Linked DNA regions of Styela clava. The protein of the gene in region 2 purifies or fractionates together with the protein of the main gene of each other region. This does not show direct contact. Links are inferred from orthologs where the notes say so. Each region holds a gene or a part of one and is shown on either strand. Other genes may lie near its edges.

Region 1 (16,120 bases), on a different chromosome or scaffold from region 2:
AGGCACTAAAATTAGTCAATGGTATGAGTACAGGAAGAATTTTTCACGATTGAAAGAGTTATTTTATTTTTGTCAAAATTTTAGAGACACTAATAAAAACTGACATATGGCACATAAAAACAAACCAATAAGTCTGAACGGCGTCTAAACTTCAATTTCAACCGACTGCCATCAATACGCAATAAACAAATCGATGCTCAGGAAACAATAACGTCCGACAACATGGCGACCTATGTAATATCAATATCTCGTTTTGAGATTTAATGACACCGAGAATTCTAGATTGCAGAGGGACCTGACCGCCAGTGAAATCGATCCCCTTTCTGAGTTATATTCCGATATCTCATTGTCTGCGTCCTAAACTTTTATCAAATTTACTAAAAATAGCTATGACACTAAGGGTCGATACTCCCTATCGTTGAAAACTACTACTACAAGGCCCAAAAAGTTCTCAACAGGGCAACGTGAATAATTACGCAGTTATTTGGAATGAGTTATCTTTCCGAAGATAACATTCAGATCTCACGAATGTTATTGGACACGTTTAGTGGACATAACGATCGTTTCAAAATTTTGTTGTTATTTGTCTCAATCATTTTTAAAAAATCGCTTTTCTCTTCGAATACTGAACCAATTGCTTTGAAATTTTCAGTGGTTAAAGATAAAATTTTTCTCCAGAATGCTATTACTTTTTTTTTTCGCTTTGACGTCATCAAAATTATTGCCATTGGGTGGCGCTACGTGTCCATATATTTGAGCATAGCTCTCTTGTTTAATCTAGCATCGTTTAGCCAGACAAATGCCAAAGCTTTTGTTGACTTTCCCCTACTTGTATTCTTCTATTGCGTCTGTGCTAAATTCAGGTTGAATAAAATTTCCACAAATTCCTCATTGCATGTGCTGGCGTGGAGACCCAGCCTGTTAGTGATGCATCAGTGATACAATTCTTCGTTAAAATACAGTTACCTCGACAAGAATGGCCAGGGATGTAAATATCGTATATTTTATTCTCGAATTCCGAATCAGAATATTACGATTCGAATATTTTCGAACCCGATTATATAACATCATATTATCGTTACCTTTCTTCACATTCGAAACAACTAAATGATAAATTGTGATTAAATGATATTAATGGACTAAGAGATGGATAACGTCAGTAGAAAATTAATTCAAATTATGCATTAAATACCCAATGAATTGCGGCTTTGAAAATTTTATTAAATGTATAGTGATCGTTTCTGCTAAAATGTTAAACTCCAGCCAAATGTGCTTTAGTATAGTTTGCGCCAAGATTTTAAAGAAATACAAGAGTACGAGGAAAACATCACAGACCATGTTTTTAATGAAGAATGATAAATTCATGTTACTATATTGGTACTCCAGAGAAGCGCTTTTATATAATGACATATTTGTAAAACTTCTTAACATTTTAAGTGGTCCTCAAAATTGAGCGAAACCATTGGTTCCTCCAAAACTGTGACCGGACTGAGGAGATGGTAAGAAATCGCAATAGGTTTCAGCTTCATCCCTGGAGCCAAACTACATTCAAACTGTGGCTCAGGAGCAACATTTTTTAGCTTGGACCTGACCTCTAAGGTGCAGCTTTAACAAAATGTTGGGATTTCGTGCTCCAGCTCTAAATGTGATCTCTATGGAATATAGCAACCCCAGAAGGGTGGCCTTGCAAAAGCAAAGAAAATAAACGAAGAGACGATTTTGGTCGATGTTGAGAAAACGCACAGAGTCACGCAATTGCCTCATTTAACTGAATTTTCCTTAAACAGAATCAATCAGTTTGTTTTTTTAAATTGCTCTGGTTCGAAATTCTGGAACTTACATCCTTAACAATGGCATTTCTACCTAAATATAGTCAAAACGATACTTTTCAAAGAATTTTGGAAAATGTAATCAACTTGCAAATAACAGTAGCTTCTTTACAAGCTCCAATTCCTCAAACATAAATTCGATCATTAATTTTGGTGACATCGCGGCAAGATAACGATACTACAAAAACATTATGAACTTAAGCACGCGTTGTCTTATTTCGCATTTGGAACACACGCACCATCACGGTCTCACAATTCATCTTCGACGGATAGGTTGTGCAACCCTGCATTGATAAAACGATGCTATTATATTTCATGCAGCTGACTTCATTTTTCATATGTTGTATTTTGCAGCTAGATTTCATTACATGATACTGCATCATTGAAAATAAGTCTGAATTTCGGTGAAGCACTCCTCTGATAAATAGCAAATAGGCAACCTGAAATATTTTTGCCCAAGTTGTGATGATCAAGACAAGATCACATATGTTTTTATTGTATTTCTCAATGCCTACTGGGCCTATAGACAGACATCCATGGCATATAGTACTGCACAATGACCCATAGGAAAAATAAATAAACCTTATAATTAAGTGCAACATTGATATTAGGAAAAGTAATGGTAGTTAGTTCACAATTTTCAACTTCTGACCACAACCAAATATTTCGCCTGGCTGTAAAACTTTCCTTTCACTGACATGTCCAGCTTCAACACAAATCATATTCAAATAACCTTCATCATCAAAGTCCGACATTTCTTTTGCTTTGGCAGACCATGGATTCCAAAGAACTGAAATACACAAAATGCATTTACTCATAAGCAAAGCCACGAGTGGTCACCAAAATCTTTGGGCCTCGTGATAAATAGTCTATAGAAAATTAGATTGCTATGCAATAATAGAGGTTACTTTACTTTAAGCAAATTTTCTTATAAACCAAGTGCCTGTCAATTTATACTAAATGCTCTGTGTTTTTGATACAACCTATTACACTACTCTTCCATGTGGTTCGTGTACCAGCTCCCTCCACTATATATTGTGGATCTGTAATTATTAACTGAGTCGTTATAATACCAGATCTGATCTGGTAATCAACTGAGAATCATTGTTCCTCTTCATATTGAGCAGTTTTATCTTCTACTCCTCTGGTATAAATATGAAAAATCTGTCAATGAAATGGAATTCATAAAGTTTTTATTATATAACCTGTATCCTTGAGATTTTGTTTTTCTATTTTGATTTTCCTCCCCTGACTGGATACAAAATGACATTTGGTTCCTGAAGAAATGTATACAGAGTCCACATTAGCATCAACGTGAATTTTTTCACGATTTTCCACTCTCCCATCTTCCTTAGTAACCTGTTAAACAAATTCATTTTAGATGGCTTAAACGAATGAGATAAACAAAAATCACTTTAGTTCATTATAAGACTACCTTGTCATTGTATGTACAGCCTTCAAACCCAGTGACTGAACACTCTTTAATGCTTGACACTCTGAAGTACGTATGAAGCAAAGCTGTGAAATCAAATGATTCGGTACCAGTGTTCGATATGGAAAGAGATGTCTCTAACTCCTGTGGTCTCAATTCAACAGTGTATGTCAACCGGAATCTATAATACACAAAAAAATGATGGGATTAACTAAATAAAAGCAGGCTTAAAAAGCATGACTGTGGCACAGTGATCCAAACTTTTTCAGCTCACAACACACTAAAAAATCACAGCATACTTCTTACAAAGCAAAGTTCTTTAAATCATTTTTTTTGTAAACTTTAATCCGATAAATGTGGCTGCTTCAAGCGGATTTGAATCACAATGAAGTCTTACCATTACCAAGAACATTTGGATTTTGTTGCAACTCACAATCACACTCGTTATTTTAATTTCAATTTCTGTCAGAAATCCATATTTGTGATTTGTCAAGCTATAGAGTTTGTAAGAAGCAGAACATAGGCTGCTTAAGTTAATACACTAATAATAGGTATTTCATGTTGCCTGATAAAAGGATTAGCAAAACCAAATTTCTAGAAAATGGTGATGCCGGCAAGGGCCAAATAGACTGAATATCCTAGGTCGATGCTTCAAAATTTGAATCTTTTCATGAGACCAACCTGTATTTCCACAATGATAATGTGTGATCATTTTCTTCTAAAACAAAAGTTGCTCTCACACAGTCTTCTAACTGATAAAAAAAACGGATTGTTCTTTTATAAAACATCAAGATAAGGTCATAGATGTAAAGATTATGTTATATATAGACATACCTTTTCCTGTTTTTGTAACTTCCACCATGAAATTCGAGCAAACCCATGTTGAGGACCACATGACCAAGGACCAAAGTTCGCTAAACAAAAATTTTTGGATTGGTAATATCAAAAATATATGAAACTACACTTCAATGAAGTACCAATCATCTAATGAAATCACAGGTATAAATATGGCAATTTCACAAATGGACAATTTAAAATATAACATTTACCTCTACTTACGAAATACGACTGGTATTCCTCCTCTGATTGCCTTGCTTCCATCCATTTTTGACAAAGTGCTCAAGAACAACTGCTCTGTATTATCATTAATCCATGATATAACTGTTGCACCAAATAAATGGATTTTTGCCGACGAGCCATTATCATGAATCAAAGTAACAACATTTGCATCCATATTCATATAATAGATTAATAGAAGTTAAATAAATCCTAAAGAAAATTTGAAAGCAGTCATTATGATTAATTCATGAGGACCAACAGAACAGAGTCAGTAACATGGCGGTAATTTCAAAATGGTAATTCACTGGCATACTATTCATCTGCAAACACATCTGAACAAAGGGACTATAAACTGAGAAGGAAATTTCAGACTTATAATCTTTCATTTTTAATCTAGCTTGGCATGTCCTCAAAATTATTCTTTGTACGTTGCAACAAGAACACTCCTGCTGTCAAGCCACCAATGTTGATATATTGCGTCTTTTTCAATTTCCATAGGAAGTGAAGTCCATCAATTGATCGTTTAATTGTTCTTTTGTCCTAAATTATGTTAAAAGGGTGAAATTAATAGGAGAAAAACTGTGCCAGTTTTTTATAAATAATGAATGGCCATTTTCTATGAAGATATACACATAGCATATTGAAGCAAGAAATAGCTCAAAGCTGAAATATTTCAGCTTGCATTTCAGTTGCTCGGAAAAGGCTGTGCATAAGCAGTCATTGATAAGGTGCAACTTTCATTTAGGACGAACCAAAATTATTTCAATTCGACATCGCATAGCCAATTTATTACACCCTGTGTGAGGTGGTGAGCATGGGATTTCAGCCCAAGATCTTAAACCTCAAAGGCTATCAAAGTTAAGGCTAACTGTAACTAACAATACCGAACCCACAAATATGAAATTTCATAAGTGTCCTTTGTCTGAAGACACAACGGGTCAATAATTGTCACAAGTGTCTATGATGGTCTGCGAACCAGGCACCACTAAGCAGAACTAAGAATTCAATCCACATACCAAACTATGTTAACAATTAAAGTAAAGGCTATTATACCTGTGTGAGCAAACATGCTCTTCCACTGTCACATATAGTTACTCGTGCAAGTTCTTTTAATAATGCTGGATACAGTTTACGATTATCAACTTTAGATCCAACACGTTTCCCAAATGGTAAATCTGATACCACAACATCGATTGAATTAGTCTTCAGTGGAAGACAAGTAACATCCCATTGTATGGTATCTGCTCTGAGGTTCATTCTTTGCAAAATAGGATGGTTATTATTGATAAGGACAATCAAATAAATAAGTTTATACAATGATAAAATCCAAAAGATGTCGACCGGAATCTATAATACACCAGTAATTGATGCATTTTCAACTAAAGAAAAGCAGGGTAAAATGCATGACTGCAGCGATGTTCTACCGTTACCAAGAACATTGAAATTCGTCACCATTACACTTGTTTCTGATTTTAATTTTTGTCAGAAATCCATATCACATAATAAAATGATAAAGTTTATATATAGTGATCCAAAAGATATAATTTGTAGAATACTGTACTTCCTTTTATCATGAATCTATGAAAGCCAGCATTTTCATCTCTTTTTAGACAAAGTCTACCTTATTTAACACTGGAGTATTTTTCAATTTTAAATCATAATCACCAACCTTTTGTCTTTTTCATGGTGTCCATCTACAAAATCTGGATTTTCGTTAATAAATTGTAAATTACAAGAACATCTTTCTGTGGCCGAACTAGTGTTGTCACCTAAAATTTAGAGCTGAGTTTATTATGCTGTTATTTTTTACATTGAACTAAATGACACAAAGCAATCAATACCTCCTATATGATAACTATTTGGCCATTCCAAAGCACCTTCAACTGGTATAGCACCTGAACCACACATTGGGTCGACAACCAATTCTCCCGTCTGTATATTACACATTCTAAGCATGCAATAAGCAGTTGTAGCACGTAGTGTGGTTGCACCAAAATGAGTAATATTCCTAAAAATAAAAAGAGATATCAATAACTATGTTTAATTAAGGTTAAAAGATCCCCATTTTAATAAAATTACTACGCTAAACAAGTGTCTTTTAACCTCCTCAGTCCTCACACTCTCAAAAACCTTGGTGAATATTTACATATTTCAAGATGTGCTGTACAACATTTCAATTGCTTATTTAGCTCAGCCTAATTGACATTTTTTAAACGAAAAATATTATAGGATGAAACTGGCATTTAAAATAACATTTTTAAATACAAGCAACAATAATGTCAACAACAGCAAATAAGAAGGCATTCGTGACTCAATCTTGAATGATGAAAAACGGGGGTGATCTATTTGTAGACAAAGCAAAATATGACTGCAGTTGAAACACAAAATAGAATTTATACCATTATCTATTTCATTTGTAATAATGTTGTTAAATATATGGCTTATTGACCAACTGAGATATTGTTTTAATAATAACCTTCTGTGCAAACTCTGAAGAGTCAATGCTACTGCAACTTCCAATGAACTCTCTCCTAGACATAGCATAATCTCCAAGTTGTAATTTGACAAATCAACCTGAAATGAACACACTTTGTAAATTTCAATCCATTTTGAAAATTTGATATTTATTAATAAATGATATTGACAGCATAAGAATATTTTTTTTTATGAAATGATTTGAAATTTAATGTGATCAAGGCTGTCGAACACGAGTGTGCAAACTGTGGCCCATGGGCCGAATGCGGTTCACAAGAAAAAATTGTAACAAGTTAGCAATTTGGTTTAATCTGGTACGTGCAAGTAATTTCAATCCCTTTACGTTGTAAAGCATATACCGTAACTGAGTCCAAATATTTTTTATCTATGCCTATGAAGTTACAATGCCCTAACTAGCTTGTGCGAAACAAACAATGCATGTCATGGGGCCAAAGTATTTTTGCTTGCAACTACTAGAAAGCCTATGTTAAACAAATGGGCAGCCCGTGGTTTTACACAGAAGTACTTTCTGCAACTTCGCGAGCTGCAGTTTATTTATCTGCTGAATCGAGTTTAGCGAACATGAGTAATTTTTTCGGCATTTCAAAGTAAAATCAGACAGAGATGACGGAAGAAGAGTTGACCATTTGCCTTTATTCTTAAGACCTACCTGTTTGCCTATAGCAAAACCAAAAGGATTGCTGCAAACTTGATAATGAACTTAACAGTCAAAAAGCTAGGCCGACGGTTAACGAATATGCCCCTACCTTACCTTAGTTAGTCCGCTTTAGGCCAACGGTGACACGATATTGAACGGTCAGTTGGGCGACAACTTCACGATCCCTAGATCGCCATGGTGACCCATTTAGACGTATTTTTGATTTATTTTTCACAGAACACTCGGAAGACGCTCGCGAAACACTAGTGTTCGGCGGAACACAGTTTGGGAAACGCTGCTGTAGAGTGTAGACAATCAGTCCAATCTTTTACAATATAATGTTAGAAAACAAAACCTCACCTGCCAATCTGTAATATCTTGAATCTCGCCTCCAAATCGATAAGATGCTTCGGGGGAAGTGACAGGTTGTTTTTTTCCAACTCTATTAGTTGTGACACGATATCGCACCAATGTTCCATCTGGGGCTATATTGGGTACAATAGGAGTCCCATTTTGACTTGTTCGTGGCTTTTTTGGTTCTTGAGGCTCAGTATCAGATGATGCTAAAATGTCATCTTTTGCTGGTTCCCTAGGAGAGTCATCCAATTTATCCCCGTTGCAATAGGAATTGCCTTTTGCCTGAGATTTTGGGTACTTTTTGTAAAGGTTTTCTTGTCTTGATTTACCTTTGCAGTACTGCTTATTGTAGCCCCAAAATTTTACAATATCAGACCAGTTGATTTCTCTTGCTAATTGTACAAGATCAGCATAAGATTCTTCTTTAGTTTCCTTGTAAATATAGTTTTCACATGTTTTTACAATCAAAAACATGCGATCAATCGACCTCAATTTATGAGCAAGTGCTAAAGAACTTCTGTTTGTTTTCCAATACACACGACCTTGCTTGACAATTACATCACTCTTATCCATATATGGAAATTTTTCTTGTATTTCATTTGCAGCCACTTTTTCAAGCCCTGTTGCCACAGATGCAGCAACAGTGACATTATTGTCTGGGTTAATATGGTTGGGATTCATACTTTAGGAAAAATAAGATGGGAGTGAGTATAAAGAGAAGGGGTAAAAGGGTGGTCGTTCATAACTATGCCTTATTTGTTGACCGTATCACCAGTAAAATGAGATACCATCTGCCCTTAACATAAAGTGGGTTTATTTCACAATTTCAGTTTATTGTTTATCAATTCGGTATTCAAATTGGCAATCCATATAACAAAATTATCAATGTGATTCATTTTTCACAGTTCTAGTTTTCTACTTTATTTGTTATAGTACTATCAGACTATGAAACATTATCCTAAGTTTCCCTCGTTATTTATTTGTTTTATCTGTTTTGCTGTGTTTGAATTAATTCTATATTTTCCACTTCCTTTCGGTTGTAAAACTTTTAATTTAAATTTGGCACCTTCTAAAGCTTACATAAGGCTTTGTTTGCCCTCCTGATTCTGTAATTATTTTGTTTTTATTGTTTGTTATGCGCTTGGTACGATATGTCCCTACTAAAATTGCTATATATGTTTGCTATGCCTATGCCCTACTAAAATGGCTATGTCCATCCTAAAACGGCTATGTTCATACTGAAATAGCAATGCCCATACTAAAGTAAAAAGGCTATGTCTCTGCTAAATCAGTAAATTGGCTATGTCCATACTAAAATGGAAATGTCTGCTAAACTGTCATAGTATTCACGTGTGTGTTGCGTGAACGTAAATTAATACGTCCGTTCCTGCTTGACTAAAGCCTTGCTTAGAGTGAAAACGTATAACGCCTTATTAATGAAGTGTGACACAATACCGGTACATGACCTATCGCAGGACACACGGTATAATAACAAGTCTTTCTGGTTTTAGGTGTATGGTCCCAACTACACCCATTGTGTAAACGTAGATTAATACGTCCGCTTCTGCTTGTCTAAAGCCTCGCTTAGAGCGAAAACATACAATGCCTCGTTACTTAAGTGTGGTACAATATAGTTGCATGAATGTAAATTAATGTGCTTACCCACGAAATCACAAGTTGCTCAGATGAGGATATCGTGAACGTTGGTCAAAATTGGTGTCTCGCTTGAGTTGCGTATTCATTTTAGCTCTGCGAAACGGTGAAGGTACGAGAGAGGTCGCCGGCGTTTGTTCCATACTCGCATGCGCCTTTACGGGTAATCGCTGTACTTTGACAAGCTTTTATTCAGTGATTGTGACGTTGCAGTGACGTACCGGTACCGTGCGTTTTACATGGCATAGTCATGGGGGTTAGAAATGACATAGGATAGGCCTATGCCTGTATGCAGAAATCGTTATGCTACTCCCACTAGAAATGCTTGTTGTACTAACTGACTAAACTACCTAGACCAGTAGACCCAGGTATGACCGTATGGATCAGAGACTGGATATTCTCTATAGTCCTGTACCGGTAGTCAGATAGTGGTGGTAGCATAAAAGTCATATTACAATATTGGAGATGTGATATTCTTGTAAAAGTATCGCTTTGTGTCCACGCAGATCCTAATTATTCACAACTTATAAACAGTAGGCCTCTAAATGAAGAAAATGTCGGAAGAAGATGAATATGACAGTTTTGATGATGAAAAATCACCAAAGAATAGTGAGGGGAGATCGAGCAGGCAAAGCAGAGGTCATGATGAAGACACGGATGACGCTAGTGAAACTGACCGAGCTAAATTTGAAGAAGAAGCTTTGGACCAGATATATAGGGACAAACTTGGTCAACTAAAAAAGCAACTAGCACAACTTGATTCTGGCACTTTGCAAGAATATTGTAAAAGATTGAAGAAACTGGAACAAGTTCACAAAGATAGACAAAGACAAGCTCATGCACATCAAGAATATTTATTGTATAAAGTTGAACAAGAATATGAACGAGAGAAAAAAGCTGCTATGAAAGACTTTGATGAAAAGAAGGTTGAATTAAAAGAAAACTTAATTGCAGAATTACAGGAGAAAAAGAAAATGATCGAATCTGAGCGTCATACAATGGAGCTCACAGGAGTTTGTCCTTCAATGGGAGATGCGAAAACACAAGTGAAACGTAATTTACGTCGACGAGCACATGACCCTGCCCCAGCAAATAATGATAAACGCCGAAAACCGAGTCCAACGCAACTAAATTTTGTACTTGATGATGAAGAAATTCTAGAAGATCTTAAAATCATTAACAAAGGCAAACCAGCAAAACTTTCTCATGAAATATCAGTGGAATCTCACAATACGAGTGGACAACCAGTAGAAGCTCGAATCGAGGGAGGAAAATTATTATATGATAAGAAATGGTATCACAGGGGGCAGCCAGTTTTTATTTATAATTACAAAGATAACACAAAGTTCAGTGGAGTTATTACAGTGATCGCTGACAGAGAAATTACAATTCGCAAAACATCAGGTGTGTCTGTACGGATATTTGCTTCACAGCTTCATAGAGGAAAGTATGGAATAAAAAAGAGAATGACTCAATGACAGTGACATTGGCGCATTACCATATAATGTCATCAGTAAATGTGTTGTTACCACAGGATGTCACCGAAGGTGCACTGTTGTGAGAATGACAACCTTTTATTCCCCAAAATACGGGTCTTGTGGGAAGTCTGTATGCACTAATGCCTTATCCAGAGACTTGTTTAAGACGAAAGTATGTGGACATTGTGCTAATATTGTGATGTACTTAATAATATTACGGAGTATAAACAATTTTATGATTGTGAAATTTTGTTGTATTAGATCCATGAATTAGGCTATAAAAAAGTATGAGGTTTGATGTCTGATTTTAGCATCTCTTCTTCAGGGAGCAATTTTATTATTTTAAAATGTTTTGCTATGAAAGTTGTTTTGTGGAGCATCTGTCGTATATAACTGCAAACATAAATAGTTTCAAAGTGATATTATATTAGAATATTATTTAGATCAGGGGTGTCAAATCCTAATATGATGTTTTATGTTTATAAAGGCGCTCACATGGATAAAATACATAATGTTTCTTTTTGCTCTTGTCGCTGCATTGAATCTTTCGCTGTTTTGCTCAATGCATTTATTACTGTAAGGCTAAGCGAAAGCCGCAATCTCTCGTCTTGTCTTTACTGCTAAATTTCTTGTGTGACTCAACTAGATGTCTGATGTTGGTTATATGGCCCATTGATAAAAAATGTTACACACCCTTGATTCAGATATTTCATATTCATAATTATTTTTCATCCTGTGTTTGGGATGTGGATTATTCTGTTTCTGCCTATCCCTGTCATAGTGTGAAGTGAAAATAAACTGTTGAGTTATACCATTGCTTTATGATCAGTTTTAATAGAATAAGGTTCCGTTTGACAATTTGTTTTCACTTGCTGATGGATACTGCTGAATCGTCAGCAATCATATTTTTAATTGTATACCTAAGTTGACAGGAATAAGTTTCATATTCTTGTAATGTCTTGATCTAACAAATACCATATTATGACAACTGACGATGCTTAATTTTCAACCTTTCAACCGGTGGCTGCTTTAGCAGAATTTTGTTTATTTTTTGTACATATTTGTATAACATTCTATTCTTTTATTTAGCCTAAAGATTTTAAAAACCCTAATAAAACAAAATGTCATTTTGTAGACATTCTGAACCCGTTGCTCTTCAGCGTATTTGGAAAGCAATTGATGTTATTCGTGGCCAACGTCAAATTGCCAATCTTTCCCGAATATCTAAAGTTATACAAAGAGAGTACTCCTATACTCCAAAAGAAATTTTACATCATATTTTGAAGGCTGTGAAGGACAATATGGTTGTAGAAACGGTTTCAGTTGGTTGCAAAGGTTCCAAAGCTGGGATGGAACAAGAAGGTTATTGGATTCCAGAAGATTCTAAAGTTCACTGGTATGAACAAACTCATGATTGGTATTGTTTCATATGTCATAAACCTGGTAGACTCTTGAAATGCAAAGATTGTGTGAAAGCTTTTCATAAGGAATGTATGGAAAATTCAATAGAAGAAACCAAAAGTTGTAAATACTGTAGACGGAAAAATACTGCGTTATTGGATGTCAATCATACCAGAAAAAGTAAGGAAATATTTAACAAATGTTTGAGATTTATTGCTCACCGAGCAATGGAAAATTTTCCAGAGATATCGCATCATCCTGATGCGGAAGGTTATATGCATTATAATTACTTTATAAAGCAGCATATGAATTTATATGAACTGGAGAAGTTATGTAAAGAGAATAAATTTGAAGTTGCCTTGGATTTTCTTTGTTATGTAGAACTGATTGTTCATAATTGCATACTTCTGCTCGGTGAAAACCATGAATATTCAAAATCTGCCAAAAGTGTGTTGGAAACATGTATGCATGAAGTCAAGGAATTGTCTTTATGCTCTAACTGTTACTTTCTGTCCAGCACAAAACCAACAAAAGATTGGTTTAGCACTCCATGTCAGCCACCTCATAGAGTTGTTTGGGCCAAGCAAAAAGGATTTGAATATTGGCCTGCTAAGGTTATTCAAGTAAATAATGATCAAGTGGATGTTCGATTTTTTGGTGGTCATCATGAGAGAGCATGGGTTAAAGTTGATAGTATGAGAAGCATTGTTGTTAGTCCTTCAGAATTACAAATCAAGATAACTAAAAGTTGGAATAAAGCTAATGCTGAAATGAAAGAATACATCATACAGACTGAAAAAGTTTATGGGTCAAACTATGCTGCTCAAATTGTTTCTTTTGACTATGAATGTTCAAGCGAGGAATCCTCTGATAGAGGACAAGAACTTTCAAACATTGAGCTGCAGACAAAAGCAGCAAAGCGTAAGGCAAATCCGAAGGACTTTACGACAGAAAAACAAGGCAAAATTCGTTTAAAAATCTCAAAGTCTAGGCTTAAACCGGAGAGCATAACTGAATCTGAAAGCAATACTAGTGGAAGTTCTGCTGTGATAGGGATTATACAAACTACGCATGCAGATAGAAAAAAGCAGATCTTAGTGCTTGGTGAAAAGGCAAAACCGAATAGTGAATGTGCTCGTACTTGGCAATATGGAACTGACTGCATTGTTTTAATCAAAAAATATAATTTAAAGAAAAAATACTCTGGTCTTGCATACCCAAATATCCAAAGTTCTAGAAAAGCACACAAAGTGGAATCAGAAAAAAATCAATTGTCCAAGTCATTTAAATGCAACTGTCGTAAACGATATCAATTAGTGTTATCTCGATATAAAGCATCTGTGAGAAAAATGAGAACAGTAGAGCGAAAGCATTTGTTGATTTCAAGTGCATTGTACATTCGGCGATATTTAAAACAGCAATTCACTCGCGCACAAGATCTTGAAGAGGAAGTAGCTCGATTAAAATCAGAAAACAAATTGCTAAAATCAAGATTTCCTGAGAACGCTGAAAGTGCAGTAATGGACACGACAATATTAATTTAATTTTTCTTACATAACTTGGATCTGATTATCATTCACTATATTATTTGGATATCCTCAGTCATCAATTTGTTTCATATATATATTAAAAATTGGGCGCTCCAGGAGTATGTGTACTAGTACTGAAACCTATGGGCAGGGGCTATATTCACTTGGCTAACACAGACTGTCCCTATTCACTTGGCTAACACAGACTGTCCCTGAACTCCCTAATAGAACTAAAATGAGGAAAATCCTAATAAATTATGGCCTAACCCTATCCTGGTACACACATTTCGGGAGTACAGAAAATTGCATGCGTTAACGCCAACTGTGCATCTGTCAATGAATCTTTTTAATTTAACCTTATCATCATACTAAAAATTCATCTCTGTGTATGCCTTTAAAAATTTTAAGTATGAAAGTGAAAAATAAAAATGGCTGCTTCCATGTTTCATATAGCCTTGCATCGCAAGACTTGTCTTTTTATTCTCATCTATGTATTATGTTTTTATCTACACTGGTTACAAACCTGTATATCAATCACTGTTCAATAATTTGGAATGAAAATATTACATGAAAGAATTTTTTTTCAATCATGAATTATAATATTTCTCTTTCTACATGAATCTTGAGTTTAGCTTGGTGTTGTCTCTTTGTAATCATGCTTCCTACAAAAATCACATTTACTCAACATCACGATGCTCGCCAATACTGCTACTCCGCCAATACTGCTACTCCAATAACCTAAGTTGGTAAAAATGTTGCTGATATTTAGCCATATCAAATTAATTTCAATTCAATCAATTGGAAGGAATTTTTTTTCAATTTAAATACTGTAGTTATATCGGCTCTGCTAATGTTTTAATATAAAAATGAACAATTCAAAAAAGGTAACAATGTCACATTAGTTTTGACCAATTTTTTAGAATACTGGGTTCATAGCATAAATCATCAGATACCGGTACTCTCATTTTTGGACATATGGATAAAACTCCATTAATATCAAATATTTATAATTGAAATTCATCGAAACAATCCAGGTTATGCTGAATTCAAAAGTTGGTGGTATTGATAAAATGTCTACAATACAGAAAAACGCCCAAGATATGTCCTTGCCCGTTGCTGAGATTTTTATTCCATCTCGCAGATTGATAAATTCATCTCATTATTACATTGTTTGATCCAGATAGAAATAATTTTCTAAACTAAATTATATCATTTCCATTGGGAGTAAATTACGGTAATTTCAATTTTTCGTATCTCTTTACAAATCAATAACAGAAATTTGCAATCAAAGAATGTAATTGACCTACTTGTTTTCAGTATGGAGTTAAAATAATAAGAAATTTTCACTGTATTTGTGTTTATATCATCTGAACCTGTAGCATGAATTTTTTGTCTGCCATCTACAGGTAGTTTTTTGTTGGTGATTGCAAACTGTTTATGAGTAAGACTGTCCACATACCAGAAAATTTGTATGAAATTCAATAATTGAGTGCAAATGGGGTGTTGTATATTCAATTTTTTTCTGATGGATTTTTTTATTTTTTGATTTATTGTATACTTAGAAACACAAATCTGTTAACGCCTAATTTTCTTTTGTGTTTTTTGCATTGTGTCTTATTCTAATCATTGCTCAATTTTGTGTTCAATATTCCTTACTTTAGTAAAGCTTTAAAAACTAAGTTGTCTTTTCTTAATTTTTTTGGATACATAACACAAAGGACGAGACATAGATTCTATCGGTGAGTAAAGCAAATATATTGAGTCATTGCATGGATTTATACTGACGTTGTCTATTCCCTGAGTTTCCCACAGGCTCATAATCACGTAATTTTCTTGAAGTCCTGAATTCTCATGTTATTTAATCCATCAGACTGCTAGGAAATGTAACTTCAAATTGAATTATGAATAAAATTTATTATCACAGTGTTAAGGAAAGTAGTTGAATTCTTAAACTATAGCATGCAGTTTGAGTTGAGTTTTCAATGTTTTATTTAGAGTTCAAAAAATAGAGTAATAAAATCGAGATAACCAGAATATCCAAGAGAGATAATATGTTCTAAAGCTCCTGTAATAAATATTCTCTTTATCGCATTTTACAGCATCTTCACTTTGTAAATATGAGAATTGGAATTTGTTCAATCCTTCATGCATGTCTGCTGACTTCAACTTTATGTGAAACAATAAATTTTGATCCATATGAGGTTATGAGCTTAGATCATTCTGCGTCACAATTAGATGTGAGATCTAAG
Region 2 (16,516 bases):
CTATTACAGGAGTGATTCAGACTTTGTTTGTTCGGCGCCAAATTGTCAAGGAAAAAGTCATTGCTGCATTTGAATTGAATTTTGTGATCGTTAATGTATACTTTATGCCTTTTTAGGTTTGTAAACATGTAGGCCTAAGAAATAAGGGCAAAAGGTCCAACTCTTCCTCCTCCTATATGCCTGATTTTCTATTAAAGTACTATAAATATCACACATGTTGCTTTGAACTCAGTTCAGGAGATAAATAAACTGCAGCTCACAAAATGCATCTAGTTATAATACCTCTATTGTTACATACACTACGTAACAGAAAGCAAATGACATAGAAAGGTTAAATGAATTTACCGATTCATATTCACAGCATTAAATATAGGAAACAAAACATTTTCAATGATTAAAATATATATTAGTTGTGTTTAACACAATTCCGTTAATTCTCAGGGTGCACTTAGCAAATGCACCGCAGCATACCCTTTGGAAACGGATGTCTTATACATAAGGTGATACCATTATGCTTATACACTGATACAACCATCCATAAACATGTTCCCATAAATTAAAAAAATGATGCCAACAGGAAGCCTTCAGGGCAATAATGGAATTATATAGATGACTAAACCTTACCTGCATTGGAATGACAGGCATATTAGCCTCCACCATATCCGTTGTAAACATGCTATTGAAATAAGGTATCGAAGCAGCTAAAACAATACGATGAGCAGAAAATTGACCACCTTCCACTTTCAGAACAACATCACACATCTTTCCCTGTATTGAAATGAACGGATAGAATAATAATTCGAACAAATTTTGAAACAAGAACAGTATATATGTTGACATAATTACAAATTTTTAATTTTATTCTACTCAGGTTAATACTTTGTATTCTTTTATTCATGGGCAAAATATGGGTATGACGTTTACTCAGTAAGTATTCATAAGTTAGTTAATAAATTTGTATGTGATAATTCCTATAGTTAGCCAACAAGGACAATGTTATGAACTAGTTAATATCAAAAACGCATAGGTCATTGTAAGTGAATTGCTGGCCAAATTTTGAGCACTGACAAAAAGATAAAATTGCGCAACTACAGTGAAACCAGATATTCAAAAGTAAATCGAAACTCAATGTATGACGTATTCACTATTTTATTAATACTAAACTGTATTATTTTATTAATCTATAAACGATCCATGTATTATTACCTGTAAAAATGCATGTCAGTATTTCAATTACATAATTAAACAATATATCGAACTATTATCATATGTATAATGCACAACAATTTGTTCACCTACCTCTCTTCGAATCTGTTCAAAAACTGTAAGAATATTGTTTCCGAATCCATTTGTAGAAAAAGTTTCTTCAGATTCAATGTCTGTAAAATCCGACAAACCAAGAGACATCATGGGTGTAACAGACAACTAATTAAGCAACAGAGCTATTTATGCTGAAAACTTTAAGAAGCGGCTTTTTTATTGGTATAATATATCAAGTACAATAATCGCAGTAATATAGACAAAAAAGAAACACGGAACACATTAGGAAAGTTATTCAAGGAAAAATATAGATCGAGAATAGCTCTGAAACTGGACAAGAACATGACTTTAGCAAGAGTCCATGAAACACCAAAATAGCTATTATGAATACATTCCAATAATGACTGGCCAAAATTCCTGCATAACATTTTACAACATTTATTCGACCAAATCAGACTTCCTCAGGCAGGCAGTTTACCAACAGTTACCAGTGATAATATTGGAATATTGATTATTACAATTTATGTGGGACATGCAATACAAGCCAAATGTGATATTTCATAAAAGATTGATTAGACCAGGTTTCGGTAGAATTATTCCAATGAATAACAAAACTCAAAACGAAAGATGTCACAGACAGATATAACATGACAATAAAGTTTCCTTAGAGTAAGTCTGAGGGCTGTCAGACATAACTCTCCAAATTTAGATAAATGATACATTTGTGTGACATCACACAAGAGTGTGACAAAGTTAGTACACACAGTGATCAAGAATTTTAATTCACAAACTGATGATGACTCACTGTGACATATGAGACAATCGAAAAATGAAATCTAAACTTATGATATAAAATATCAGAATAGCTTATCATTCTATAACTCTGATGCAAAATACATTTTGACTTCAAATTACCTGAACAGATTTATTTTGAATTAAAATCCTAAAGAAACTTGACAAAAATGAAAAATTTGACATAAAACAAATATTGCAAACTAATAGAAAAACAATAACTCTGACCATCTGTATTCAATCGTCTTAAAATCTGTCTAATTTCTTGAGAACCCACAGTCAAGATTATATAATTTGAAACTTTATGAATTTAGAAGCAAGAAATAGCTTTTTTTTTGTATAAAGAAATATTGAAAATGGATAACATTCATATGACCAGTCTACCAGAAGTCTCGACATTTTGGAGTTTTTAGTCTTCATACAGATGAGACGAAATACAAGTACAATGAATTAGCTAAAAATGCCACAATTGAAAATCATGAACAATCACAGTTTAACTAGTTGTCTATGGTTGCATTATCAATAATATCTTGAACCAGACAATGGATTTGCAACATGAAATGGGCTATGAGGTTTTTCAGGATGTCCTTGATATCTACCCGGTGATCCCGATCTTGATCTGGAACCCTGAGTGACTTGTTGGGGTATCAGTGGTCCTTGCGGCAGCATTCGTATCATAGATCGTCTACCGGGAGAAGATAGTGAACCAGAATCATCTCCGAAACCCGATTTTTGACTGGCCATTTCAAGCTGTTTATCCAATGATAAAGAATTGTATGGTGACCTCTGATCATTTGATCGAGCGGTTGGTGGAGTGCCATGTAAAACGCTTATATGACGTGATGGTGTTCCATGAATGCTACCATGTTGTGTTGTTGGGGGATTAGTCAGGCCTGATAAGGAAAAGTGACTTGAAGGGTGAGCACTAAAAGCGTGATCATATTTTGAGTGCTGAGGCGCTGTCGGCAGGTGGCCAGACGCAGCCATACTCGCTCTCTGATACATTTGTATAGGGCTTGGTTGGGGTGATGCGGGACTATGTGGTCTCTTGACACCTTGGTGAGGGGCTGGGGAAGTCTGCGGATTCATTGAATGTCTCAAACTAGGATGAATACGAGGGGACGATTGACGACCAGGTAATGATAGATATGGCATTGCCTGGTGGTGTTGGTAATGTCCTCCTTGCATCATTTGGTAATTGCTCATGTTGGATAAAGAATGTGAATAATGGCCATGACTGGATGCAACCATTTCGGTTTGTTCTTTTATTTTTTGCTTTTTTCTTTCTTCCTCTTGAAGAACTTTCTTCAATTGACAAAAAAGCTGGTGTTTCTCGTCTTTCAAAGTCTCATGTTTTTTGTGCAAACTTGACAGTTGATCTTTTATTTGTTCCAATGTGACGCTATCTTCCTCTTCTTTCCTTCTCCTTTCTTCTTCTATTTTAGCACGCCGTTCAAAGTCTTTCTCAGCCTCCTTTTCTTCCCGCATTCGTTTTTCTCTCTCTCGAACAACATGCCGCCTAAGGGCTTCCTTCATAGGCTCAGACATCTCCTCTCTTTCAACCAAAGAGGGCATTATTGGTTTACAAATATTAACCTGTTAATAAAATTAAAATTTAATGAAAAACTTGTTTTTGTTCACATAAACGAACCAACTTAACGCGATAGAATGTTCAACTCAACGTGATTGAAAGAGCAACTTCGCGAATCGTATTTCTTTTAGGCGTAATTTTAACAGATTTGATATTTCTAATTCAAGTTTAAAAAACAGTCAGATAATAAGTAACTTTTTAGAAAATCTCAGTCATCCTGGTCAGATAATAATGTTAGAAAAGCACGAATAAGGAGGTTGGCAAACTTAGTTTGTGTAAGGTAACAGTATATCTAATTTTTTTATACCACATATTTATGCCTTTCGCTCCAAACAAGACTTTTCCATAGCAGCCACTGATATGTAAGTCGCTATTTTAGAAAAAAATGGAATCTTTCCGTGCATGGCATACTCATTTTATCACACCATGGGTGGTTAGCATGGAATTTGAACCAGAAATTTTAACCTACGATTCCTTAGTTAAGTATAAAGCTTTAATCTTAGTTAAGAAGTCTAAAGCCCCCACATCCTAATCTTTATTTAACATTTTTACGTCACTTCCACCTCGGAATTGTTATTAACTTTGCATATTATTTTATTCTCGCAATCGCCTCATGTCAAAGCTTTTACAATTTCCCAAACACACCGAAACCCAAGCGTCAAAGCCACAGTTGGGATGTTCCGTTTAAATAATTTTACACTTGTTTATTTTAAACAAGTTAATTCTGTCAGTTGCACGCTAAGAAACTCGGTTTTCATGCGGTTTCAATAGAAGTTGCACGCCGGGAATCTGTGATTGCACGTTTGCTTTCTCGTGAAAAAAAGCCATGAAATACAGTCTGGCAATCACATATAGCATCAGCGATGAAAAAAGGATAATATTTTGATAGAAAATATGTACATGTTTATGCGTTGAAGGAGTTAGTTCATAAGTAGGGATGTAAGTTTCGAATATTTTATTTTTGAAGCGAATTCCGAATCGAAATGTTCCGATTCGAATATTTTTGAATCTGATTCTATTTAGTATAACATCATATTATCGTTAACTCTCCTTGGATTTAAAAGAACTATAGCATAAAGGGTGATTAAATAACAATAATGAACTTGAGGAATGAGTGAAGTTAGTAGAAGAAAACATTAAATTGATGCTTGAACTACATAATATATTAGAGGATATGTATTATTTCGGTGCTCCCGAAGTATGCGAACCAAGATGGCGGACATCGGAACGTAACATGGGTAACAGGTTAGGGTTAGGCGATAATTTTTTTCCAATTTTCCTTATTCTAGTCCTATTATCAGTTCGAATACTAGCCAAGAGCCTCCCGTAGTATTTATACCTAAAATTATGGCCTAACTCTAACCTGGTACACATATTACATTCCGATGTCCGCCATCTTGGTTCGCATACTTCGGGAGCCCCATTATTTCTATATAGAGTTACACTCAGTTATATTTACTTATTACAGTAATTTATGTTCGCAAACAATATAGGATGTATAGAGATGGTTTCTTCTAAAATTCATTCAAATGATAAACGTCAGTGAAATATGCGTTAATATTGCTTGCGCCGTGATTTTAAAGAAAGCAAATGATAACGAGGGAAGCATCGCAGACCTATGTTTTATTGCAAATATTGTTGTTAATATGATGACATTATATAACTTAGGTAATTTAAATACTTGTTCATATAATAACATATTCGTTTAACTTCCTGACATTTTGAATAGTCTAAAAACAATTTAACGAAACCATTGGTTCCTCTGAGGCGGCGACCCATATGAAATATAACAACCCCCGGAGTGTTAAGACTTGGGAACGCTGTAAGCGTAGAGAAAATGAATGTTATTGTTCAACAAGACAACACTGCGGCGTCTTGCAATCGCCTCGTGTTATCTAAATTAATATTTTTTCAAATAGAATCAAGCTGTTTTTTCTCAAATTGCTTCGAATTGATGTTGATTCGAATCGCTTCGAAATTCTTAAACCTACATGGCTACATCCCTATTCATGAGAATCATATAAAAATCACATGAACATGAATTTTGTTTATTTGCATCAAAATGTAACAGCATATGTAGAATACACAAACATTATGAAAGATTCAGATGAAACTGTAACCTTTCCACATAAGTTACCTATTTTTACAATTCCCATTTTATTATTATCTGAATACAGGTCCCTTTTCAGCTTTTCCAATGATGTTTTTATGGCATCATAAAGTTATAGGTTAAACTTAAATACAGAAATATAATGTCTAATTAATATTATTTATTTGTAAAATCAATCGCGGTATTAACGATATATTGCGACGGCAAAGAAAATAATAAAAACATCTGAGATCAGAACAGACGAAACATACTGCAACCCGCGCATACCCTCAAAACGAAATCGCTCGGCCGTATCGAGGATCGACGACTGAGAATACCAAACGAATTCCAATATATACATCACTTTAACTGACTATTCCCGATACTAAATGACTAAGTTACGCTCCTAATACAAATCTAGGACATCAATTTACGATGCCATTGCACTTCAATTACAATCTCTAGTCGAAAACATCGCTAAATAGCGACGTCTACACTTCAGGGTTTCCCAATCCTTTCAAACCGCCCATTCTGTTTTTATGTCGCGACGGTCTTTTGCGAGGGACGCTTTTTTCTTTTTCACGGCTGAGTTACGTTTCCGCACCAGTGGCCAATAGAAATAATGCTTTGCTACCAAAATCAACCAATGGAAACATGGTATGGCGGGGGTTGCAATCTTTTGCGCACGGCTCCCACCACAATCATGTTGTTGTACCAGTCGGAATATTTTTGAAGGGCTGCTTGCTGTCGGCTTAAATTTGTAAAACGAGATTGTTTTTTATTTACTTTTGTGCCGCATGTAAAAAAGGTTTTCCATTGGTTCATATTGACTCTAGTCAGTTTTTGTATTCTGAATAGACTACTTTTGTCTTGCGTAATGAAGTGTCACAGTTTTTATTTTGTGAAACTGTCGGCTGATCTAACGGAGGCTCGAAAAAGAGATAATACTGGTATCGCGTCTTGAGTTTAAGCTGGGTTGTCTTCGTTTCGATTTTGGATGGAAGTAAATCACATGGAGCTTATGTAGTAAGATGCTACATTTTACTCTTAGACTCTATGATATATTTATTTTCTATGTCTGTATGTAGCCTAGAGCTGGGAGATTCAACATAATATAGTAATACCGGTACTGATGGACTGTGTTAGGACTGCATGACTGTATGGGTCTTAGTGCTGTACCGGTACTGGCATATCACTTACAGACTTATGCAACAGCCTAATTATAACCATCTGTTTTATTTCGATTGATTAGGTATGATAGAGTAAGATCTGAAGATGGTAATCAAATGCAATTTTCTGAATATCTTACATTTTTCTAGCTATGTATTCGTTACGTTTTTCATATAAGTAACGTTATATCTGTATATAGAACAAACCTAACATATAATATGGATTGAAATATTTGATGGCTTACATGCATAATATTTATACTAGCTGACCATTACCCATGGTTGTCCAGTGGCAGTAAACCATGTCTATAAGTCTATTATCGACAGTTACATATTTCTGAACTACATGTACTAAGAGAGAGATATAAAATTCAATCAAATTGTTAATTTAATTGGATTCAAAAAACAGTAATTCACCTGTATTGATGAGATTCGAAGTTAAATTGTTTTGTGGCTTCTGCTATCTTGATGCAGAGGTCATTCTACTTCAACTCAAATAGATTAAGCGAATATCTCAAACTAAACATTGATTTCATATCTATTTCAACAACAAATATTTTCAATTTCAGGATACTGGTAATTTAAAAAAAAAGCTACACAATCGAATGTATAATTTTTTCTGGGTGAACTTGAAACCTGAAATGCCATAATGATAACCGATATTGGCATTTTCACATCTATTCCTATATTATAATATTATGAACACGCATAATCTTAAAATCACCAGCTTATAAAATAAAATAAATCCTTTCAAAAAACATTTTTGAAGGATGATATCCATATACAGGGTGGCCCAAAAGTAGGTATACAGTTAGTTATTAAAAGTAGGGTTTGGTCCAAAAGTAGGTTTGTAGTTCTCATTTAGGCATTTTTAAAGTTTAAGAATGCTAGCTATATCGTAGACAGAAACTGTTTAATCTCTTAAGTGCTCAAAATGTCTTCCTCCAACATTGCAACATTCTTCACACCTGTCCAAAACACTCTGACACACAGTACGACACAAATTTCGATCTTCATCAATTTCTCTAAATGCGTCATGAATGTAATCTTCTAATTCATTTATTGTTTTGGGATTTTACTCATACACCTTATTCTTTACAACACCTCAAAAAAAGAAATCCATTAGTGTCAGATCAGGTGAGCGTGGTGGCCATTCAATGCCACCCCTTCTTCCGAACCAACGCTGCAGGAAAGACTTCGTTAAGGTAATCTCTTAAATATTCGCCATTAACCCTCAAATAAAATAAAGATTTACCAAATGTATTACCTTCCAAGCAGCTAGAAAACTAATGTAAAATTCACACTAGATTTATTATCTAAAAAATAAGCAATTTTTGTGGTACTTAACGAGCAACATAAAGTGAACTGCAAGTAGCTTCAAAGCATATAAAATAGTTCAATAACTGTATACCTACTTTTGGGCCACCCTGTACGCAGGATATATTCCTTCTATATGGTATAAAATGAAAATATCAATTTTTTACACTTTTAATCTTTCTATTTCTACTCGTGTATTTTTTGGGTACATTCTGTTTTTTTGTTCAGGCAAGTCTTTTTTAAATGACTAAATATTGATTCATGATTAAGCAATCAAGATATTGGCATTCTCAGTCTTTTGAAAAGAGATAGCTGAAGTTGGGAGATGTATACATTGAGCAATGAGACACTTTCAGATAAAACACAGCCTTGCTACTATCTTTTTCTTACATCAGGATTTTTTGTGTAGAATGAGGATAATATAAATGTGATTTAGTTTCATATATTTGAGGGTTTCCAGCACCTTACAAATAGTTTTTGATGCCACAATATCAGTTATATTTATCAATTGGTTTGGATTAAATCCAATTTAAAAAATTTTGCTGCGAGACTATTATATGCTTGAGAAATTTGGTATATATACTTAGTACATCTAGCTAGCAACTGAAAACTATAAACAATTTGAAATTTGTATACAAATTGGTTTTGTAGGTTTATAATTTTAGTCATCTTATATTAATTTGAATTTTTTTGAAGACCACATAATGAAAAACAACAATATACTGTCGACTGAAACCATTGCATGTTTCTTGTCAACTATTATATATATTCTATATTTTGTGTCTTTTTGCCTCGGGGCGAATAGTGTTTAATGCTGTTCTCCCATGATGCATTGATATGATTTTTTACAATATTGTGTCGGAACAACTCGAATTAAAATACTTGCATAGCATACCATGCTTCATTGCTCATTTTTTATATCGGTTTTTAATTGGACATAACTTGGCCAGGCCACTGAGGAAAAAATTACATTCATTCAAATGTTTTTCTGTCAGGAAGAAACTAACTTTTCATTGAGTCAAGTATCGAAGTCTGTATCAACTTCAATCTCTAATACCATATTTTTTCACTCAAAAGGTTTTATGATAAACTTTTGTTATAATGATGATATTGGATTTCATAAAGTAACAATGACAGAAAGCAAACAACCGACGCCAAATCGATTATTACGTCCTGGTGCTATTATTGCAAACCCACCTGCCCCAGGTTCGCCGTTTATACCTAGAAGCCAATACTCTTTGATGACGCCTGGAGACAAACACAACCCAGCCACACAGTCATCATCTGCTACTATCATTCAACCAGCTTTAATTGTAAGTAATACTAAATTTAGTGAGTATTTATATTTGGCTTGTTTTGCCTGGCGGAAGAGTCTCATTTTCAAAGCTAATTTTGAATTTCATGGAGTTAGAATTTTATACATTCAAGGGTGATAATTAAGAAGTCAAAATTATTAACAGAAACTTGAAAAGCATTATGTTTACCAAGTATTCCTTACAGTCTATTAAAGCAGGCCTGCATTCGCCACAAATTTGCTTTCAAAATTTAATTTTCTAATAACTGTCATTTATAACAGAGTCATTTATATATGTTCCCAAATTTCACAGCCCTAATTGAAACTATTTCAAAAAATGTGATATTTTCTGTTTTTAGTCGACTGCAGTTACTACCCGATTTCAAGTTTCTCGTCAAATTGGGTCCAAACCACAATTAATGGTATCCACTGGTTATAAGCCCAGCGCAGGCAGTGTTGCTGTACCAAGAGTTTACTCTGGTCATGCTTCCATTGAAAAAATAGGCACACCTCTAAACGCAGTTTCTGTTGACACACACGTGAAAGCTAATGTTAAACCAGTGCCAATGGCAAAGGTGAGTATCAATATCTTATAGGCCAATTTTCAATACAATTTGGAATCTTGTTTTGACTACTATTTCGTCATCGAATCGAAAATAAATAAGGTCAATCTAGACTAATTCTGATTACTATCATTTATAAACAATATTAATACTTATTAAACCCTAAATATAGGTAATGTTTCGACTTTCAATGCAATGGTTATGGAAAAAAATTTGATATTCATGTGTTTCCTGTTTTGAGATTCACTTTGTTCCAACCTAAACACTTCTTATACTTTTAGTCTGTTCCTGTGTTGCTTGGTCCTGGATTACGGCAAGTCACGAAAACGGGTACATATGGCGATCCATCACAACCTTTAAATGTTACCCGAGTACCAGTTCCAACGAACTCATGGGTAATCCATCAGCAAGACCTCAACACACCACCAGTGTCGAATACATCAGCAACAGCTGCAGTCACAGTGTCAAAAACAAAACTCATATTCCAAAATAATGCAGTGACATCTACATCAACGACTGTGGCAATGTCTCCTCATGATTTGTCAAAGAAGTACGTTTTTTTTAAATATACATAAATGCTGTCGCTTATGCAATTTCAGCAAAATGTTTTGGTACAGTTTTTTCCACTATTCTCAATATTTTTTTTTGACTGTATTGGAAATAAAAACTCAATATCTGAAGCTCAACTGATTTACTTGTCTTTTTATTTTATATTTTCAGGCATGGCAATCTGCCGCAGACGAAATCAACCATCAGTATTTTGCCAACCCTACCTAATATACCTCCTCCAGAAGCAGTTCACAGGAATGCACTTACAGCCACACCTGTACTCTCCGCAGGTGAGTTATCTGAGCTATTCAAAATTAACTAGAGTTTAAGACTTCTGTAAATATATTGTTCATTATTTTTAGGTAACAAGCCTATTTATCAAGTGGTAGCACCTGGATTTCAAACTAATATACACAGCCAAAATAGTGCGATTAAGAAACTATCTGTTTCTGCTACAATTGTCAGCCAGCCATCTGCAAGCACTACTACAGGTAAACTCGAAATTTCCAGAATAAAACGATTTTATTATCGTTAGAATATGAATTGAAACTGAGTAAATATTTACTTATTCATTGCCTTTAGCGAGTTTTCCATCATCAACTTCTGTACACACGACCGGTCAAGTAACAGTGATGACATGTGGACCAGGAATCACTTACATACCAGCTCCTAATCCAGCTAATGTATCTTCTATACCAATTGCAAAAGTATATCCTCAACAACAGGTAGATGATCAATAACTAACTATTGTTGTCTAATTACCAATTGATTGATATTATAGGATAAAAACTGCTTAAGGTTCTTGCTCGATAATGCACTAACAACCAGATATCGATTGATTGATTTGTGTAATAACGAAAATACTTAACTTTTTGATTTTAAGATATTTACATAATGAGAATTGATACCTCTTGGTATTTTTGTAGTATCATGTAACTTTGCTCAGTGATGATTCCCCTTTACTTCTGAATGAGTTCAGATGACATTGATTTAAGCAAAATTCTTTAGTGAATAATAAGAAATCGATGTAAGGTAGCTAGTTATTGCTGACAGTATTTGAATAGCTTAAATCTTCACTCATTCAATTTTAAACACATCGATTTACTCCATTAGCAATATATTATAGAATTTTAATTTCCCTTCGCTAAGAACAGTGCTTATAATATAGAGAGTTTTACTTTCGTTTAAATTGAATTCAAAAAATCTTTCATTTTAAGTGCATTGGTGTACAAATCTAGTATTTTACGACATTAAATTGCATTACAATCCTTACATTTTCAGCCTACGTCGAGGGTAGCATTGACAGCTACAAGCGGCCGATTGACAGTTCCAATGATATCATCAGTAAACACATCCAGTTCAACGGTGTCTAGGACAACAGGTCCCGCGGTATTACAAGTTGGTTCAATCAAACCGACACCCACCACTTCTACTGCTATGACATCACAGTCAACAATTGTATCCACCATACCTGTTGCAGCAAATAATAAGGTTTGTTCTGTAATACTCATAGACATGATAAGTATATTGGGGAAAAATTTGATTTTTGTTTACTTTGACCACTACGTTAACTACTGCTAAAGCTGTTTTATATGAATATAATGAACTTTATGTATTGTAATCATTTTCTAGTCTGTTGCTTTATGTTGGCCAACTACCTTGAACTATGCTGCTCAACAGACAATATCATCTGCGGGAAGTACTGCTGCTTCAAGACCCAGCATAACAATAACAAGTAAGTTGTATTTTGTTACATGTATTTATATACTTTATTGTTGAAATGATAGACTCCTTTTCATCTCAGATTCAGAACAAACGGCCAATGCGATAATTTAGTTAAAAAAACTTCTGAAAACTCTTAGAAATATTCTAGAATATATTTAATTAGGAATGCATTCTAAGTAAATCAAACCATTTAGTTAGTTGATTATTTTTAAACTTGGAATATTCTGCGCTGTTTTTCAAAAGAAATAGGATTTCTTTCACTGTAAATGTGAATATGTACTGTAAAATATTTTGTTTTTTGCTTGCACTTTTGATTAGATATTTTAAATTATAATTGTAAGATCTTCGACCGGTAGTAACATTTTCCATCCTATGGACCTTTTTAAACAGTTTGCTAAGGTTGTGAAGACCTAATAAGCTAGTTACTTATCGATTTTAATCGGTAAGTATGTTGATGGGTATTTGTCTGTCTGTTAGATGCACGCGATATCTCACGAAAGCGAGATTGAATCTGCTCCAGATTTTGCATGTGCATTCATCTTATCTCGGACCAGAAGCCTATTTATTTTGGGCGAATTATGTCGTATAATTAGCGAGTTATTATTTGATTAGTGATGGGACACAAGGTGTCACTATGGAATAAGAGCGCTGTTTTGTGGGATCCCCTAACTTTCGATCGATAAATTTTCGGTCTCTGACCGATATTCTCGTTAATAATATTATTTAGAAATGGTCTCTACTAGAGGGCTGCCTTTGATTTTTTTCTCCTTTGCAGTACCACAATGAAGAGTAGTTTATTTGGATTTTATGTTGTACATGAAAAGCTTATGGAATCTTAATATCTTACTATGGACCCGAGTTCTTGACCACTGGAATTTATGAATGCACAGCATGGTTTATAGCTGTGGATACTTTTTCTAACCCAAAATTTTTAATCTTTCAATTTAGGTACATCGAATCCACATCAGGTGGCAACAGCAATAAGAGTTCAACATGGTAGTAGCGTTTTAACGACACATTTACAAGGTTCTGGTGGTGCAGCTCCTTCTTTGTTGCAAGGTGAAATATTCAGACATTCGTTTCATTGTCACTACTTGTTGTTTACATCTGTATAACAGATATGACTAATGTATCAATTCGGATCATAACATTGCTTGTATAGGATGATAATAACAATCTTGACTCTTTTTGTAACAAAGATTACAAACAATGTTTTTTCCTTGTTATGGATTTAGATGCCTTATAAATATCTAGAGTCAGTCTTTTCCTACTAATGGGCTTCATATTTCAAATTTTTAAATTGGCAAGTTATTGATGCAGTTATTAAATATACTTGTCAACTACCAACAAGCAACCATTTTTTTCACTTGCTGATGTCTTGTGTTATTTTTGTTAGAATAATAATTGTCATTTCTAATTCGTGTTTCATTTGCACAGTCACTGATACTGCAAATCGAAGCAATACGTCTCATAATCAAGTCAACCCGCCAAGTGGTGGTGGCCCTTCTACGCCGACAATGTCTCCGAAGCCAGCTATATTAAGAAGACAAAGGCCTGACAGGTAACGATGATTAGCTAATTTTTGTGCTTGTGTCTTGCTCCTACAAGAATTCTAGGAAATTTCATTGAAAAGATTTTGAATGATTCAAATGTGATAGGACAATTAATTAGAATTTTTTATCTTAAACAGTGATAAATAAATTTGGTTGCTGTGTTATTTGCAGTCTTCTAATTTATTCCTATTTCTCGGGTATTTGTTTCACGAATGGTTTTTCAATTTTTTTTTTTCCAGTTCAAATGTTCTTAAAAAGTTGTCATTCACATCTGCATCAAACTTTCCAAATCAACGTCGAGATTTCCACACTTTACCAAATGACAGAAGGTATATATTTGTAATATATTAGTTAGCAGTAATCAATTAGGACTAGAAATGGACCTCCTATAGAAAATGACTTTTGTCTTGAAAAGAAACTCATTGTTCTATCTTGAATTTTGTTAGTTTTTGAAAAGCCTGTCATCGTGCATGTTTTTCGCCAAATGATTCTACATAGCTATTCAGCTTAATGGGCGACGTATAAGGTTTTGATATGATGAATTTCATAATTAGGTTGCTCCATTTTTCTCAAAATAAATTTTTGCACAAATGTTAACTTTATGTCATATTCAACTTGATACATTATTAAAAATAAATGAATTTTTTAGCTTTGTAGGATTTCTATCAAATTTGTCTTTATTTACCGATAATCAAATTGTTTCAACCAAATTTGTACTTGAAACTGACAATCTGATTCTGCCTTATTACAGGTCTGCTCCTTATCATATAAATCGACAAAAGTTAACAAATAACGCTGGAGAAATGAAAGATGTTCCCATAATCGTACCGACTGCGGGAAATCAAAATGAAAAAGGGGAAACCAAACCTGTGTTGCCAAATCAAGGTTCGTCTTCTTAAATTTGACATGGTGTTGTTTTATAAATGCTGCAATTTTAATGGGAAGAATTGTATTTATTCTTATTTTAATTTGTGAATCTTAACTAGGGGTTATTGACTTTAATTATCCGTGGCTTCTCTCAAAGACTCTCAACACTTTGGCCCTTGTCCTTATATAAAAACACACAGTTTTGCTTTATATGGGTTCTCATTTATTACCCATGTTCCGAAAACGTAAAACTACCAAACGAAAGAAAAAGAATGAACGCATTAAAGTCTAAGAATTTCACAATCAATTTACTTTTAATTTAATGTAGTCATCGCAAAAGGTATCTGGTAAATGCCTTTTCTAGTGGCTCTTAGAGTACAGCTCTGTGGCCCACTTGGGGGACGAGGGCCCAGTTCAAGAAATCTTCTCTGAACTCTGCTTTAATAAGAATTTATTCGTTTATTAAATTCGAACGATTCACTTTGAATTGATGTAGTCATAGCAAAAGGATCTGATAAAGGTCTTTCTCATGGCCCCTTAGAGTACAGCTCCATGGCCCACTTGGGGCCGAGTGCCCAGTTTGAGAAACCTGCTTTAACAAGCATTTATTAGTTCATTTAAAAAATTTGACATCCTTTTTTCAATCCATAGCTTTCAATATAGAATGATTGACTGTTTATAATAGTTTAAAATTTAATCTTTGTTTCTAGTATATGGGAATAAAATCATTCCAAGTAATGGTATCACACCGTTGAAGGTGAACAGCATAAAAACTCATTCTTCACAATTCTCCAATAATCCTGGTAAGTTATGTCATCTTTTATAGTCGAAGTGATTTTAATTTTTTTTGTTTTTTCATATTTTAAAATTCATTTTTCGTTCTAGCAAAAGAAGGCGCAAATCAATCGTTTTCAATACACCCTCTAAACATTGATTTACAAGTAAAAATGGAACCTCCTGGTCATTCAGCTTTTCATACAACTTCACAGCAACAACAACATACTCCTGTAAAATCTGAATCAAGTAAGTATAGACACAATGATCGGAAAACTGCGGCCCGTAGGCCAAATACAGCCCACAGCCAAAATTTTCGGGGCCCTCGAAAGACTCCACTTTCAATTTAAAAAAAAAAATTGCTCTGAAATATATTATCTGTTAACGGATTTATGTTGTAACAATGGCAGTGCTAGGTTATTTGTTTTGTAGTAGGCTGACTTGTTAGTGGTAATTAACACAGGAATAGAAAGCAGGTGTGTCATGATTTGAAGTTTAATGTGGTGATTGTGTTGAGGCCAACATTTGTTAGTGCGGCCCACACGCTTTGTATAAAAACTTCATTCATGAAATAAATTGGTACTCGGAATATTTCGGCCCTCACAGAAATAGTACTTTCTTGCATATCGCTAGATATCAGTAGCCGTTTGGACATGTACATGGCTTTGAAAACATGAATAAGTACCATATAAGTAAAATTAGCAAGCCAACTTAGCAAGGCTCCTTAGTTTTCAAAATGGTATACTAGTAATCATCTCAGTTTGAACTGGAAATATAGACTCATTTTTTCTTACTTCTAAACACAGATTTTAATTCCTCTTATAACTACTTCTTCAGATTCTGCGAGCCAGAAATTGCATTTTCAGAATCAATCGATGCATACTTACGCTGCCGAGGTAAGATTTTGAAATATTGAACCGCGTCTTTACAAACATTTTATAATAGTTGAATTGTAATGTAATTGTAGAATACT

Evidence for each region.
Region 1: the proteins of uncharacterized protein LOC120327638 (region 2) and sin3 histone deacetylase corepressor complex component SDS3-like purify together in Homo sapiens (affinity purification with western blotting; 3 studies listed by BioGRID, with this or other methods). This does not show direct contact. The link is inferred for Styela clava from reciprocal best matches to the Homo sapiens genes SAP130 and SUDS3.

The regions. Positions count from the first base shown.
Region 1 is NC_135252.1:4,485,000-4,501,119, reverse strand, and holds sin3 histone deacetylase corepressor complex component SDS3-like, read left to right. Parts: upstream 1-9,724; 5' UTR 9,725-10,008; coding exon 10,009-10,941; 3' UTR 10,942-12,030; downstream 12,031-16,120. Other genes in the region: uncharacterized protein LOC120342985, read right to left, coding at 2,456-2,619, 3,035-3,188, 3,265-3,442, 3,943-4,013, 4,096-4,175, 4,321-4,501; tRNA (guanine(6)-N(2))-methyltransferase THUMP3-like, read right to left, coding at 4,714-4,860, 5,374-5,578, 5,990-6,089, 6,162-6,328, 6,797-6,894, 7,814-8,491; zinc finger MYND domain-containing protein 11-like, read left to right, coding at 12,063-13,886; dnaJ homolog subfamily C member 16-like, read left to right, coding at 15,989-16,120.
Region 2 is NC_135256.1:11,353,531-11,370,046, reverse strand, and holds the start of uncharacterized protein LOC120327638, read left to right. Parts: upstream 1-9,277; 5' UTR 9,278-9,300; coding exon 9,301-9,531; intron 9,532-9,871; coding exon 9,872-10,087; intron 10,088-10,356; coding exon 10,357-10,625; intron 10,626-10,795; coding exon 10,796-10,914; intron 10,915-10,986; coding exon 10,987-11,115; intron 11,116-11,206; coding exon 11,207-11,349; intron 11,350-11,905; coding exon 11,906-12,115; intron 12,116-12,256; coding exon 12,257-12,359; intron 12,360-13,297; coding exon 13,298-13,408; intron 13,409-13,786; coding exon 13,787-13,910; intron 13,911-14,141; coding exon 14,142-14,231; intron 14,232-14,653; coding exon 14,654-14,787; intron 14,788-15,479; coding exon 15,480-15,572; intron 15,573-15,654; coding exon 15,655-15,792; intron 15,793-16,380; coding exon 16,381-16,439; intron 16,440-16,516. Other genes in the region: kelch-like protein 18, read right to left, coding at 625-768, 1,300-1,410; uncharacterized protein LOC120328217, read right to left, coding at 2,572-3,627. UniProt on the Homo sapiens protein: Acts as a transcriptional repressor. May function in the assembly and/or enzymatic activity of the mSin3A corepressor complex or in mediating interactions between the complex and other regulatory complexes.